Linked DNA regions of Stegostoma tigrinum. The protein of the gene in region 2 interacts with the protein of the main gene of each other region in a pairwise test. Links are inferred from orthologs where the notes say so. Each region holds a gene or a part of one and is shown on either strand. Other genes may lie near its edges.

Region 1 (7,410 bases), on a different chromosome or scaffold from region 2:
CTGCAATATATGCATCACCTTTTCATTAGAAGGTTGGACATTTCAACAAATTAACATGAACAAAGTACTGATTGATTATCTTTAATTTAATTAATTCACCAAAATCATATGACACTGAAGAAATAGTCAATAAAATAATCTTCCAAATCTATTCAAACAAAATAACAGAGATGCTAAAACTTTGAAATCTCAAATTCATTATTAAGTATATAGATATATTTTGATTCAGATTCAAAGGAAAATAAGGGATGAGTATCTTTATGTAAAACTGTACAATCAGACCACAAACTTAAAAGCACTTCTACGCTGTTTAGAAAGGTTGGGATATTGACTGTCTAAAATAACTACAGTTGATATAATTTATTTGAACTACACAGTAACTGGATTGGTGCATTTTTTTCTGGAAAGGAGAATTCCAAACTGGCTGATAAATTGAGTCGAGTCATAGCGATTCCATGATCAGTTATATACATGAATAATTACTTTACAGGTACTTATATTCGTTGCAATTTCTCATTATGTGTTTTACAAGATAATTAATTCAGTTTATATCTCCATCTTGCAAGCATGTTGCTGAATTGTTTGTTTGTTCTTATTATTCAACTGTTAAACTGACATTCAAAAAACAGATTGGAAAGAATACCTTTAAAAAATGCAATCTTGTTTCAAGTTGATCTCTTCTGATAGAGTCCTTATGAACAGTTAACACGCTGTAAAGTAGAGGTAAAGTTCAAGTACAGAAAACATTGCCTGACGCAGGCTTGCACTAAAAAGATATCCGTTCCCCCATAACTGTCAGTTGGTGGCTGAAATATGTAGTTTTCTACAGGATGCACTGCAGCTATGCAACAGAGATAGTAGGAACTGCAGATGCTGGAGAATCTGTGATAACAAGGTGTAGAGCTGGATGAACACAGCAGGCAAAGCAGCATCAGAGGAGCAGGAAGGCTGATGTTTCGGGCCTAGACCCTTCTTCAGACTCTTCCATTTCTGAAGAAGGATCAAGGCCCGAAATGTCAGCTTTTCTGCTCCTCTGATGCTGCTTAGCCTGCTGTGTTCATCCAGCTCTACATCTTGTTATCTCAGCATTGCAACAAGTTCACTTCAAACACATCTCAGCCTCCAAGCCAAACAAGTGCAGAAATATTATATGCAGATTATCACCCTGAAGTTCCCTTCCAAGTAAGTCATTCTTACATTGGGATAATGATGTCATTCATTGTGAGTGCATAAAAATCCTAGAATTCTCTATCTCACACCACAACATGTGCGGTTAACTGCCTTTGCAGACTAACTAACAAACATCAGTCTAATTCAAAAAACATTATTTCAGACAGAGCAAAGCAGGAGGATATTCCAAATGACACTGCATTAGGGTTTAAAAAATGATGGAAGAGTGATATTTTAAAATTTATTTAGTAATGACATATAAGCAAAGGACATTTAAATTTATTTTCTTTCAATGCTATTATCAAGAGAAAAAGCAAAGAGTTGAACAAAACTTTGGTCGACGAGGTGAGTTTTGACAATTGTCTTCAAGAAGGAGAGTGATATGAAGAACTGAGGAAATTTTTCCAATGCTGTCATCTGCCTTTTATCGTTCCAGGAACATATCTGTTCCTGATGTTAATGATCTTCATATGGGCAGTGGAAAAGCTGGCCTCCAACTCATCAGCACTCCTAAGCCAGTTCATCTCCTAAGGCTGGTTAAAAATCCATCTCCTGAAACGTCCAGTTCAAATGAAGGCAAGCAGGGTTCATGTCAGGGCAAGTCATTGAGACCGATAGGGTTTCAAAAAGGAAGTGCTCAGCAGAGGTTTAACGACTTGTCCTTTTGAAGTTAAAGTTACAGCAGTCCATCACAGGTCAGGGGAGGAGTCAAAATTAAGAACTTTTCCAGTTTAGGGAACAGTGGGCGTAGTTGTCTGAACTCCAGGTAAGCTACAGAAAGATGCAGATGGAAGTGGATTCTGCACCCTCAAAAAACTGAGGTCACTGAAGATGAGCTGCAAAGATAACTAGCAGCTTCAGTGATGGCTGCTGTAGCTGCCTGAATGTGTCCCCCACTCCATTTCACCTGCCTCCATTCCTGAGACCATCAGCTTCAATCTGACATGAAATCCTTCAATTACTTAAGAACTCACTCCACCAGGAAGCAGGTTTCCGACACAGTAATAGGCTCCTGCTTCCTACCTCAGTTGGAAGAATTTGGCTTAGCCAACTGAAGGCTGGCAGTGCTTGGGCAAGGGGTGAGGAAGTACATAATGGGTCAGAGTCAAAGAGACAGAGAAGTTTAATTGAAATGGGACTGGTGAAATTTCAGGGCCAGAGAGGTTGTTGGAAAGTAATTTAGACATCATACTGCTAGAAAAATATATCAGTTAAATTTGAATGGACAATCACTAGCTTTCTCTGGCGTGTTAACTTTGTATTTGACAAGGATCACAACTTTATGCCCTTCATATTGTTAAATGCTCAGTTTTGTTTTGCCAAGGTATCAGTATTGCAAAGTTTTTGGAAGAACAGAGCAAATTGTACAAAAGCGACACCAATTGAGGTCATACAGTTGCTTTTATTTCATCAGATATGTTTTGAACCCAAATATGTTTAAGAATGGTAATGCAACAGCAGTGATCCCATTTTCAAACACCATAAACTGGTATTATTACATGTTTGTGGAAGAAATAAAATCAACACCAAGAATGAAAATCCCACTTCAGCAAATACACCACTGAAGATTTTTCCAATTTAAATACACAGAACAGAAATGACTATTGCTAATCTGTGAATCTTCCCTTTAAAATGAGAGGTGGCAGCAAGTTTTCCTTGCACTCAGTGACTTAAAACACTTGTGGTGTTGTCCCTGAGAGTAGCCAAAAAAAGCTTTCTGTAATCAGTTACACCACTTCATATCCCCTACATGCTCTGTAACTTCCTGGTCTCCAGAAAAAGCACTGTTACAATGTTTGCTTTAGTGCAATATTGGCAAAATTGAAACTGTTACCAGCTACAGAAACAGAGGATTGCTCTGGGATACTAACCTTAATAAATTACCAGATGACTTAATTAGATCGACAATTTCTTGGTGACTAAACCCTTCAGTATCCACTCCATTGATGTTAACTAGCATATCACCTGTTATATAGAAAAATAATGAGTGATAGACAGATAAGGAAGCTATGTAATGAACTATATGTAATTACTGCACATTGTGAGAACATCAGAGCCAAGCGGGCCAAAAGAGGAAGTGGATAGTTACCAGCCTTCAGCCCTGCGAAATGAGAAGGACTGTTGTCATGCACCTTGCAGACAAACGTGCACCTCTGTAATGTATTGGCATTTTGCTGATCCATTCCAACGGTCTACAAGTGGAAAAAAAAACAAAAAGACCTGCTATTTATTTCTGAAACTAATTGTAAAATTAGCATTGAGTTCTATCTTGAAAATACTGTACATATATAATTTTCTCACCTGAATCTCAAATCCAAAAGTTTCATTATCTTGCTTATTTAAAACAACCATTTTTCTGTTTGGAAAACAAAAAAAGTAATTTTTTTTATAGAATGGAGTAAGCATTAGAAAAAATCTAACTCCTGGAAACTTATAAGCATTCTGTCACTTGTAAAATAAATGGTACATGCAGCATTCTGCATTTTGACTGTAACAACATCAGGATCACACCAACCTTCTTCTGACATCACAACAGAGTTAGATGCCAGGGAACACATTATCTTCTGATATTTAAAATCAACAGTACAAAAGTATATCTTACTTTCGAAAATCTGAAGTGTCAGCCAAAGAGTTTGATCTAGTCAATGAAAGCTGCAAAGGAAAGAAAGAATCAAAATTAATGTTGTCATCAAGAATTTCTGTTTGGAGACCCAACCACATCCATTAACCTACCTCTGATCAACACTAGTCTGACTAAAACCCTCTCCATTTTTGTGCCCTGTACTATTTCTCTAAATCAGTTACATGTTTCACCAAGTCTTGCTAACTGCTTAATAAAGTAAAAGCAAATTTAACATAATCTGTACTCAAAACACTGACCAATTTAATAAATTGCTTTGCAATTTTTACTTATTTTGTTTTAGTTCACATTTATTGAACAAAAATTACAATCTGAACAGGAAAATATTAGGAGCAAAGTATCTTTATTCTACTAGTTTATGGAGAATCATTATAGCATCCGCTACAATGTTATCTATGTACTTGTTAGAGCTGGGCAATAGTTGTGTCTGGGATGTCTGCTTTACCTGTCTGTGTCCCCGGGGCAATGTTCCCAGCGAGTTGGCGAGTATCTGAAGCCGCTTGTTGTCATTTTCGGCAGAGAAGCTCCGGTTGGAGATCTCGGAATAAGAGCCGCAGCTGGCTGATGAAGAATCCGCTGCCATGTAATTCGCGTTGACGTTAATTTGAAGGACACTTTGGAAAGTCATGATTGCGAATCAGCCAGTCTCATCGTTGTAAAATAACCTGCACGAAGTCCAGCAAAGCTAGATCGAGCTTAACTCAAAGCGTTCACAGAAGTTGCACAGACGGAAATTCAGGTCATGTGATTTGGTTTTGTGGGCACTTGGCATTTTACATCAATCGGCTACGTTTTCGCAAGTTGCTGGAGGAAGGGTTGGGGACCAAGCCTTGCCTCGCCTAACTTTTTACAATCCGACCTTGGGTTGCAGTTTCCAAGACAAAGTAATAAATTAAAATTTTAAAAAGGCTGGCCAGAAAACACTGGAATTGCTCATTTAATGGTCTCATCTATGTTTTCTTCATAGTTTAGATCCATTCAATTGAAAAGCAGTTCGATTTTGACCCTGTTTTTAAAAAGTCCACAGTTCAGTTTAACACCCAGGGCAGAGGAGGCCAATGCCAGTCAGTTAGTAAAATATGGTGAGAGCAGAAGTATGAAATTCTGGATCTAAAAAAATTAAGTCTTTTATTCATTTTCCACTGTGACGGCAGGCAAGAATCTCCACAGAGTGGCAAGAGGCCAATTTGCTCCAAAGATACTGCTTGGCCTGCTGTGTTCATCCAGCCCCACACTTTGTTATCTTGGATTCTCCAGGATCTGCAGTTCCCATTATCTCTGCATGCTTTAGCATCTCATTTTTACCAATTCTTATCACTGTTGTTTTCCAGATTGCTACTTTTCCAGATAGTGGACTGAAACTAGGAAGTAATAACTCCAGGCAGGAAAGTCTGAGCTGGTAGTTGGCTGCTGTTGCCATGTTGCATGCCCTTCTAGCGTCCATCCTGTCCCACAGTCCTCAACATCTCAGGGCACACTCCATGGGCAGCAACCACCTGCATCCTTCATCCATGGAGGTTGGAATTGGATAGGCAATAGCCTCACCAAGTCATCAGCTTCACAAGGTCAGAAAGAGGGATCACATTCACAGTGAGAGATAGCCAAAGTGAGGATATAGTCTGAGTCTCTGGCAGCAGCTTGGAAAATCGATGCAGAGGGAAAGGCAAGCTTTTTGCTTGCTTTCTTTTGGCTCGTGCTTTGTAAGGTTTTTTTTTAAACAGGATAAATTGAAGTCCAGGATCAGGCACCATGCACAAGAGAGTGATGTCACACGTAAACCATAAGTTCGTTGGTTGGTGAAAGCTACTAATTTGACTATTTCAAATTAGCTTCAAATCTAAGGTAAACCGCTGAAATATGTACAGGTTACAAACTAAAAGGCCAGTACTTTTTTTTAAATCAAATGAAGAATTAAGTAATTAAAATAGAGATACCAGGCCAGGCGAAATGTATGAACTGGGAGCTGGTGGACTCCATTATGGTTCGTACTGACCACATCTGCGCAAGTATTGGCTCAGAGCTGATGAGCTGGAGTTTGAGCTTTGAACACTGAAACAACATCAGGGAGGGGGAGCGTTACCTGGATGCACTGCTTCAGAAGATAGTCACACCCCTAAGATTAACTACCTCAAATCTGGTCAGTCATCAGAGAGATGTGAGAGTGTGACTATGAGCGAAGAAGAAGAGAGATCCAGGAGGTAGTGCTAAAGGGGACTCAGCCCTTGAGCTTGTCTAACTGGTTTGAGATTCTTGCTTCTTGTGTGGATGAGAGCAGAGACTGTAGACAGGATGAACAAACTGACCTTAGCACCATGGTACAGAATCTCTGTACCTTCCTCGCTCATAGTCACAATCTCCCATCCCTGACCACTGACCAGATTTGAGGTAGTTAATCTTAGGGGTGTGACTATCTCCTGAAACAGCGCATCCAGGTAATGCTCCCCCTCCCTGATGTTGTACCATTCTAGAGGGGCACAGAAATGAAAAATTTACTTGTATTTGGAGACAGTATAGAGTCAGGGGAATAGACAGTGTCCTCTGTGGCCAGGATTGAGAGCCCCGAAGGTTGTGATGCCTGCCTGGTGCTTGGGTTCTCTCATCTGGGCAACAAACAAATTTCGAGTGGGAGGGTTAACATCCGGTTATCATGGTCCACATGGGTGCCAATGATATAGGTTGAAAGAGGAAAGAGGTTCTCCTGATTGAATATAAGCAGCTGGTGGCTAAATTAGAAAGCAGAACCAAAAAGATAATACTCTTTGGATTACTTCTGAGCGATGAGGAAACAGACACAGGGCGAAAAAAGTTAGAGGTAAACATGAGGCTCAAAGATTGGCGTGCGAGAAACGGTTTTAAATTCATGGGACAATGGTACCAGTGTTGGGGAGAGAGGGAGCTATTCCGATGGGACAGGCTCCACCTGAATCATGCTGGGATCAGAGTTCCTGGCAAATCATCCTGGGGTGGGGGTGAGCTGTCAGTTACATGGAAAGTTATGGAAAAAAATTAAGTTGGGGTGGGGGAATGTCTCCACAGAGCGTATTACAGTTTCCACAACAAGCAAGAGAAAGAAAAGAAAAAAAGAGCAAGAATGTAACTTCAGGCACAGCAGATAAAGGGACAGCTATGACAATCTGGCAGTCAACGCAGGACTGAAGGTGTTGTACTTAATGCATGCAGTATATGAAACAAGGTAAATGAGCTTGTAGCGCAGATTGAGATAATGGGAACTGCAGATGCTGGACAATCCAAGATAACAAAGTGTGGGGCCGGATGAACACAGCAGGCCAAGCAGCATCTTAGGAGCACCAAAGCTGATGTTTTGGGCCTAGATCCTTCATCAGAAAAGAGGGATGTGGAGAGGATTCTGAAATAAATAGGGAGAGAGGTGGAGGTGGCCTGAAGATGGATAAAGGAGAAGACGGGTGGAGAGGAGTGTATGGATGGGGAGGTAGGGAGGGGATAGGTCAGTCTGGGGAGGACGGACAGGTCAAAGGGGCGGGATGAGGTTAGTAGGTAGGAAATGGAGGTACAGCGTGAGGTTGGAGGAGGGGATAGGTGAGAGTAAGAACAGGTTAAGCAGGCGGGGACGAGCTGGG
Region 2 (7,410 bases):
GCCCCTCGATTTTATAAACTTCTATAAGGTCACTCCTCAGCCTCCAACACTCCAAGGAAAAATAGCCCCAGCCTATTCAGCCTCTCTCCTTAGCTCAAACCCTCCAACCCCGATAACATTCCTTGTAAATCTGTTCTGAACCCTTTCAAGTTCCACAACAATTGCATGCAGTATTCCAATAGTGGCCTGACCAATGTTCAACTCATTCCCATGAATATCTCCAACCTATTGTGTCAGTCTCTTTTTCTCTGTCTTGCACAATTCCAGGGCATGTGTGGGGCTGCCCTCTATTTATTTACTAATGAACTCAATATGTGTCTCTTGCCCTGAAATGTGAAGCAAAGTGGAGGACAATATGCCCCAGCTGGAAGGTGCAGTAAACTGCTGGAAAGGTTCTCAATGTAGTGGCTATTCAAGAAATTGCAGTTCAGTTCCAGTCCAGAAACAACGTATTGGTTGCATTCAGAAAATTCCCAAAAGCTGAGAATGGAGAATGGAAAAAGGCAGCAGTGGGTGGGGTGGGGTTAATGATTTAGAAGGGAATAAAAGAGAAAACTCCATATGAAAAAGCATTCTTGGTAAAAATGGGCAGTGAGCGTACAAGCAATCCAGAAACACGCTACAATTGCATTATGGCCCTGAAAGCTCAGAGGGTGGTGATACTCCAGCAACTATGAACAGAGGAATGATATAAAATCACTTACACGGCGAGAAGGCAGAGGCAAGAGGATTGGAAGCAATCACTACGGATTTTGACAGTTGACATTTTGGATTGGGCTACTGTCCACGAAGGTCAGGAAGTGGGTTGAGGCTGGAATTGGATGGGTATTGGGAGCATTAAAGAAGAATTGTGTTATGTGGCCACATGGAGCAAAAATTATTGACATGGAAATGGAAATGGAAACTTGAAAAATTGCAGTTGCCAAAGCCAGACCCAGCAGTAAATAAACCATGGGAATGGAACACAGAGATCCATAAGGAATGCACCAGACATGACAAGAAACAAAAGCATCCAGAAGTGAACAACACACTATACAAAAAGCCATGATGTGGAAAGGCCAGTGTTGGACTGAGCTGGATGAGGTCAAAATCACAAGCGACCAGATAGTCCAACAGGTTCATTTGAAGACACATGTTTTCGGAGTCTTGCTCCTTCCTCAGGTGTCAGTGAGAGGTGGCATCAGACACAGAATTTATACGCAAAATATCAAAGGGTCATAGAACTGCTGCAAATGCATTGAACAAACCTAAGATGGCTGTTAAATCGTTAATCAGTTAGAAAGGATTAATACGCAAATCCCAGAAATTTTTTCAAGTCACTGCCCCAAGATAACTAAACGTGTTATCAGTATACCAAAGGTGACACCTCAGGTCAGACAATGCATTTTAGGTGGCAGAACTTGTTTAGAATTTGGCTGTGTATTTACTTGGATTCAGACTGGTTTTATTTGAAAAATATTCTGGGATTTGCACATTAATCCCTTCTAACTGATTTAAGATTTCACAGCCATCTCAGGTTTGTACAATGTATTCGGATCAGTTCTATGATCCTTTGATCTTTTGCCTGTACGTTCTGTGTTGAATGACACCTCTCTCCCTGACACCTGAAGAAGGAATGAGATTACAAAAGCTGGTGTTTTCAAATAGACCTGTTGCACTATAACCTGGTGTTGCGTAATTTTTGGCCTTATACAACAAGCATCATTGAAGAGTGAGAATGAGGTCCTGAACATTGCTTGGTCAGTCAGCAACCACAAATACCTCTGTCCTGAAATTCTCCTCCCATTGAGGAGGAAAGTTGATGAGGTGGTTAGTACTTCGACGCCAGTTTTGAAAACCTCTCGATAGGCATTTTAAAAAAAACAAGATTAAGCTTTTCAAGTCAATGGGTTGCTGAGGAGTGGGGTATATTACAAGTTGCAAGACTCAAACTTAATGAATAGCTACTGTTATTGCCAAGAGTTAATTATACTCTCTCAGGAAGAAATCCTGAAAATTATGTTCTTGAGTAATAATGACAGTAGGAGGTCAAGCCATAATTTACACAGACTGCCAAAAAACAAGAAACAAGAGATTATAGTAAAAAAGGCCATTCTGAATCCAGTATTTCAAACTCCAGCCAAATACTCAAATGTTCAAAATGGAGTCTCACGGCGTTAGCGATACGAACTTCACAACAGATGATCATTTTGCCAACTCAGCACAATCTTGAATGGGATTTGCACTGATTACGTAAAGTAGTATGCAGGTCTCAAGAAATACTGTAAGATACACTTAAAATGAAAAGAGTATTCAGGACTGTATTTGTAACATTTCAAGCCTATTTTGTGCTTTAAATCAAGATTGAAAGAAATACAAAAAGATAACTTGTGGTTGACTCCTCTGAAGGCTCAAAAAAGTATTTAATCACAAACAACACTGCACAAAAGCTGCACAGCCATTTTAGTGGCTGAAATGTCTGAATATGCAAGTTACTTTTAGGAACAGAAACTTCAAACCAAGCATTCTGCTGTCAGCATTTCTTGCTTTAGTCAGCTGATGGATGTCTATTCCATTCTTAATGCTAACATACACTACAGACGACTAGCAGAAAAGCCTCCTTACACGTAGCATTTGGATTGATGGGCAGAAGGCTATACTCTCCTACAGGTTCTATTTTCCCCAAATTAATATTTGCATTTGATTGCTTATTTTGGATGACAATCCACTAAATGACAGAACATCACTGTCGGAAAGATCAAGACTACAAAACATGCTGACAGATTATGAAGCTGTCTGTTGCCACGTTATGTTTTAATCAATGATTATGCTGAAATATTAGAACTTCCTGTATGATCCTTCTGATAAATATTATATATAAATTTGACAAGGGGCATCTTTTTCAAACTTAATGGAAACTATGGTATTACTATGTACACATTTTGAAATCATCGTAAGTTAAATGCTCTCTCAACTATTTCAGGATTTAAAGGCACAAATTGAATAGAGGAAATTTATTTCTTAAACATACAGCACAGGAGGCCACCTGATCGATCTCTTCTGCACTGGTTCTTCTGAAAGCGTATCTATTTATTCCCAAACACTCTTCCTTACCGACAGACCTAAAAATCTATCCTAGTGCAGCTGGAAGCAGTTTCAATAGCAGATTTAAAAGGGGAATTAGATAACTATCGGAAGGGAAAAATAAATTGTAGAACTACAGGAAAAGGATGAGAGATTAGAACTAGCTAAGTTGTTCTTGTAGTATGCTAGCATGGACGCAAAGGGCCAAATGGTTCCCTTGTGCTGTAATTATTCCCTACTTCTATGGAATCCTGTTAACACGAACAATCATTCTTCAAGAGACAGTCAACTGCGTTAAAAACTGTCATATCGGCTACATGTCAATACAATTGAAATAAATTGGACATGGACAAAGGTTTGCACATGAGATTATACATATTTCAGTGATTACTAGACAGAATATTTACTACAAAACCTGTTTTAATAACCAATGCTCAAATACCTACTACATAGTGTAACACTCAGTAATAAATTATCAAATTCAAATTAACAAATTACTGATTTCATTAACACTAATCAACATCTCAGCATTTTTCTGCACAATACAATAAATATGTAGATAGTGGTGATATTAATTTCAAAATCTTCCAGATCTCTCAATTCTAGTGCAGTTCAAGTGGGAAAAATACCAGTTAGTTAGTGACCTAATACAAGAAGGAAGTTTCACAGAAAAACAACAAGTGCTTCCACCTCTAGCAGGTTTCCAGATGTTTCACTGCTCAAAAATGCAGTCATCTACACAAAACCTGATGCTAATCGAGCCACAACTGGAATTAAATTTCAAGTTCATCAGAAAAGATGAAAGTTTTTGAAAAATAGTTGCAGAATTTCAGGAGTAAATAGAGTTTTATTAATTTTTTGACTCTTGTCTCTTTTGAAGCAATTTTAAACATTCATAAAAGTATAATAATGGCAATATTGCCATAATAATGACCATACAATACTGGCAAACATATCAATTCCAGTCTGTTTTCTTCATTGCTATGGATATTCAGATTGTACACAGTCAGTATTGCTAAAGCATTGTATTAACAGGAAATATATTTAACTCAAAACAAAACAAACATGCTGAAAAATGGGTAATGGATCAAAGTGTTTCACTTTTATAGCCATTGCATCTGATCAGTTTGTTAAATTTGGAAACCCACCACCTAAAGTGGTGTCTCTTACAGTACTAGTCAAAGACTATCTTTCAGCTTTAAATCTCATTCAACCATACCTGGTTTTGCATTTACACAGAGGAAAGCCTGGAAGCTGGATGCACAGAGCTCACTAACAGTTCCCATCACTCGGTTCAATTTTTTTATAATCCAAAAGCCGTCAAATGTATTTATCTCAGTGGATATGGGCTTTTCGCCACACAGGCTTCACGGGATAATGTAATCTCTCTGGTAGTCAGTTTTGAAGTCCTCTCCCAAATGGGGAAATACTGTCATCTGGTTTTTCTCTATATATGTAGTCCCTTGGTGCACCACTGCAGCAGACTGTCAGTAATCGAATTTCACTGGCCACACATCCAGGAAAGGCTTAAATATTTCCAAATTGCCAAAGTGTTTCAACGTCACTGCCTGACAACCTGCCTCAGTATTCATTCAGCCAATCAGGTGCACATAGATGACAACACAATCTAACGTCTATTTAAGTAATAAAGTCAAATAATTGTGAATTACTTGCATCTCCAACCTTAGCTCCTACCAGCCCTTGTCAAGGTGAATGTTATTAAGTTTTCTAGGGGCTTTTAATTTATAACAAAGATTCCATGTTCACCTACAAAACCTTTTTCATTGTTGCTTAGCAACTTACTCTCCATTACATAAAATGAACGCACTAAAAATGTACTCAGTATTGTGTAAAAGGTTTTTTTTTTAAAAAGTGTTAGAAATTAAGACTTGCACTATTACTAAAAAAACTTGAAAAGTAATTGCAATTCTTCAAAAGAATGAAAAGAGATTCTTCTAAACAAGGTTCAAAGATTCCAGCTTCTATGATAAAAGGAGCAGTATTATCCAATTTGTTTGTTTTTTAACATGTGATTTTGCCAAAGCTGGCTACAGTACACAATACTACAAAATAGTACATTCAGGGATTTTTTTTGGCAATGTTTTAAATGATTGACTAATCATAATTAGTTCTAAAAATATGCCCTTTGGGCATGCAACATGTTTTTCAGTAATTTATATATTTCTGGTCAAAGGTGAGAAGATAAATGTAGAGCTTAACACGATATAAATTTATTTCACTAGTACCCAGATATGTTTTAGAAAGCAACTTCTCTTTTTAAATATTCATCTGATACTGTTACAGTTGTTTTTTTAAACATCAGAAAAGCACTGCAGCAATGTGTTCAATTTGTCATTTTTTTGGCACACATTTCTTTGTAATCTCACTAGGATGCAGGTACAATTTAACAAATGTCATGAAGTTTCTTTTCCAACAATCTCTTACAGGTTTATAATCTCAGTTTTGATTTTCAGTCAAAATGCTGATCAAAACTGAAGTTCTGCTCTCTTATGCCACAGTCACTGGTGCAATATGAGGAGGAGTAAAGCTATTTGACTGCTATCAAGTTTGATACCGGATCCAAATTCATTCAAATGATGTATTGTTGGAAGACTTCAGAAATGTCAACACATTTTCTTTTTCCAAGATACTTTCAATCTTAGATCTATTCCTTTAAAGGAAAAGACTATATAGTCCTCATGTAGAAATGAAAAGCTAAAATAACAGGAGCTGTCAGCAAGTGGGGAGTAAAAAAATAACTTATGTATCTAAGAAAGCAGATAACATCCAGTGACTGTGCAGCGCTCCATATATGGCAAGCTTATTTATAGGGCAGACAATGCTTTCAGACAACTATAGCGGACAGCATCCTCGTGTACTAAAACGACATATCAAGTTGTAGTAGGGTATAAGGATGCAACTCCATCCCTCCGATTCACAATATGGCAAATTCCAATTATCTGCCAATTGATCGGCGAAGGACCATTTACCATGAGGAACCGTATTGAAACTGAAGTTATATCAGCTTCACATTTTTTTTTATAAAAATGTTCTGTTGATTTACGAGCAACGTTGATGAAGTTTTTCTTTCAATTCTTTTGTTGAGCCAGCATGTATTGCACATCCTTGGTTGCCCTTGAGAAGGTGGTGGTGAGCTGAACCACTGCAGTTCATGTGCTCTAGGTAGACCCACAATGCAGTTCGTGAGGGAATTCCAGGATTTTGACCAGCAACACTGAAGGAAAAGTGATACATTTCCAAGTCAGGATCATGATTAGGAGTTAATTATCTATGGCTGCAATGGTCCAAGAATATTGTAGTTATGTTATAAGAACTAATACACGTGTACATCATAATAGAGTAAGAAGAGTATATGTAATAGGGCTAACAAAGCAGCAAATTAATATTGGTGATGTTTTCTAATTTTAAGACTACACAAATTATTAACAATGGAGTTGTTGATCAACGTGCAGCATCTTTGCAGTTGATAAAAATAGCACTTTTATATCACAGTAATTGGGACCTATACAGAACAGCATAGGAGCAGGAGAAGCTCATTCAGCAGATGTCAGCGATTGTATATAAAAACTTCTGTGTAGTCCCATTGATCAAAAACAGCTATAGGGTATGTAAACATACGTTTCAAATCAGAGTCCAGTTTGGTGATCTAACAGCAATGATAAAATATGGAGAAATATAATCAAAACCTCAGAAGTTTGTAAGAAAATAAAGCAAAGAACTGCAGATGTTGGAAATCAGAAACACAAACAGAAATTGCTAGAAAGAAACTCAGCAGGCCTGGGAGTATCTGTAGAGAAAAAGTCAATGTTTCAGGTCCAGTGACTGTTCTTCAGAACAGATTGTAGCTAGGACACAGTACTATGCTATTCAGTGCTAGGTGGTGCCATACACACATTCTTAATCTCTCTCTCCAACAGCACCATCTCATGCTGGCTCAGAGCTGCCGTGACCCCAGTTCCATTTCATCCTCCGCCTCATCCAACACTAACAAGAATTTTTTCTTTTCCTTTCAGGCACTACTGAACACAAGAAGCAACACGTCCCTCTGGAAAGTTCCTCTCGCCCCTACCATCCGAACCCCCTAATCCCACCTCCTGTTGTGTGTTTACTATTTGTCTGACCTTAAGTTTCCTGATGCTGAGTGTTCTGTACTCAGCAAAAATCTCAGTTTTAATGTCTCTGCTTCATCCCCCAACCAAATGAATTTTGGGCATGACATGATGTTGAACTCCTCTTCCATCATTTTCACCTCCGTTCCTCTTTCTTTGGATGAAAGTCCTCTCCTAGTTCCACAAACCCCTTCACCCATCACCAACACTCTTCCTC

Evidence for each region.
Region 1: the proteins of cyth1b (region 2) and cytohesin-interacting protein-like interact in binary tests that used the Homo sapiens proteins (3 or more experiments, as listed by UniProt). The link is inferred for Stegostoma tigrinum from reciprocal best matches to the Homo sapiens genes CYTH1 and CYTIP.

What each region holds. Positions count from the first base shown.
Region 1 is NC_081360.1:57,647,969-57,655,378, forward strand, and holds the start of cytohesin-interacting protein-like, read right to left. Parts: upstream 4,525-7,410; 5' UTR 4,440-4,524; coding exon 4,257-4,439; intron 3,823-4,256; coding exon 3,773-3,822; intron 3,527-3,772; coding exon 3,472-3,526; intron 3,363-3,471; coding exon 3,260-3,362; intron 3,136-3,259; coding exon 3,042-3,135; intron 711-3,041; coding exon 644-710; intron 1-643. UniProt on the Homo sapiens protein: By its binding to cytohesin-1 (CYTH1), it modifies activation of ARFs by CYTH1 and its precise function may be to sequester CYTH1 in the cytoplasm.
Region 2 is NC_081375.1:16,531,528-16,538,937, forward strand, and holds the start of cyth1b (cytohesin-1b), read right to left. Parts: upstream 4,904-7,410; 5' UTR 4,350-4,903; coding exon 4,283-4,349; intron 1-4,282. UniProt on the Homo sapiens protein: Promotes guanine-nucleotide exchange on ARF1, ARF5 and ARF6. Promotes the activation of ARF factors through replacement of GDP with GTP.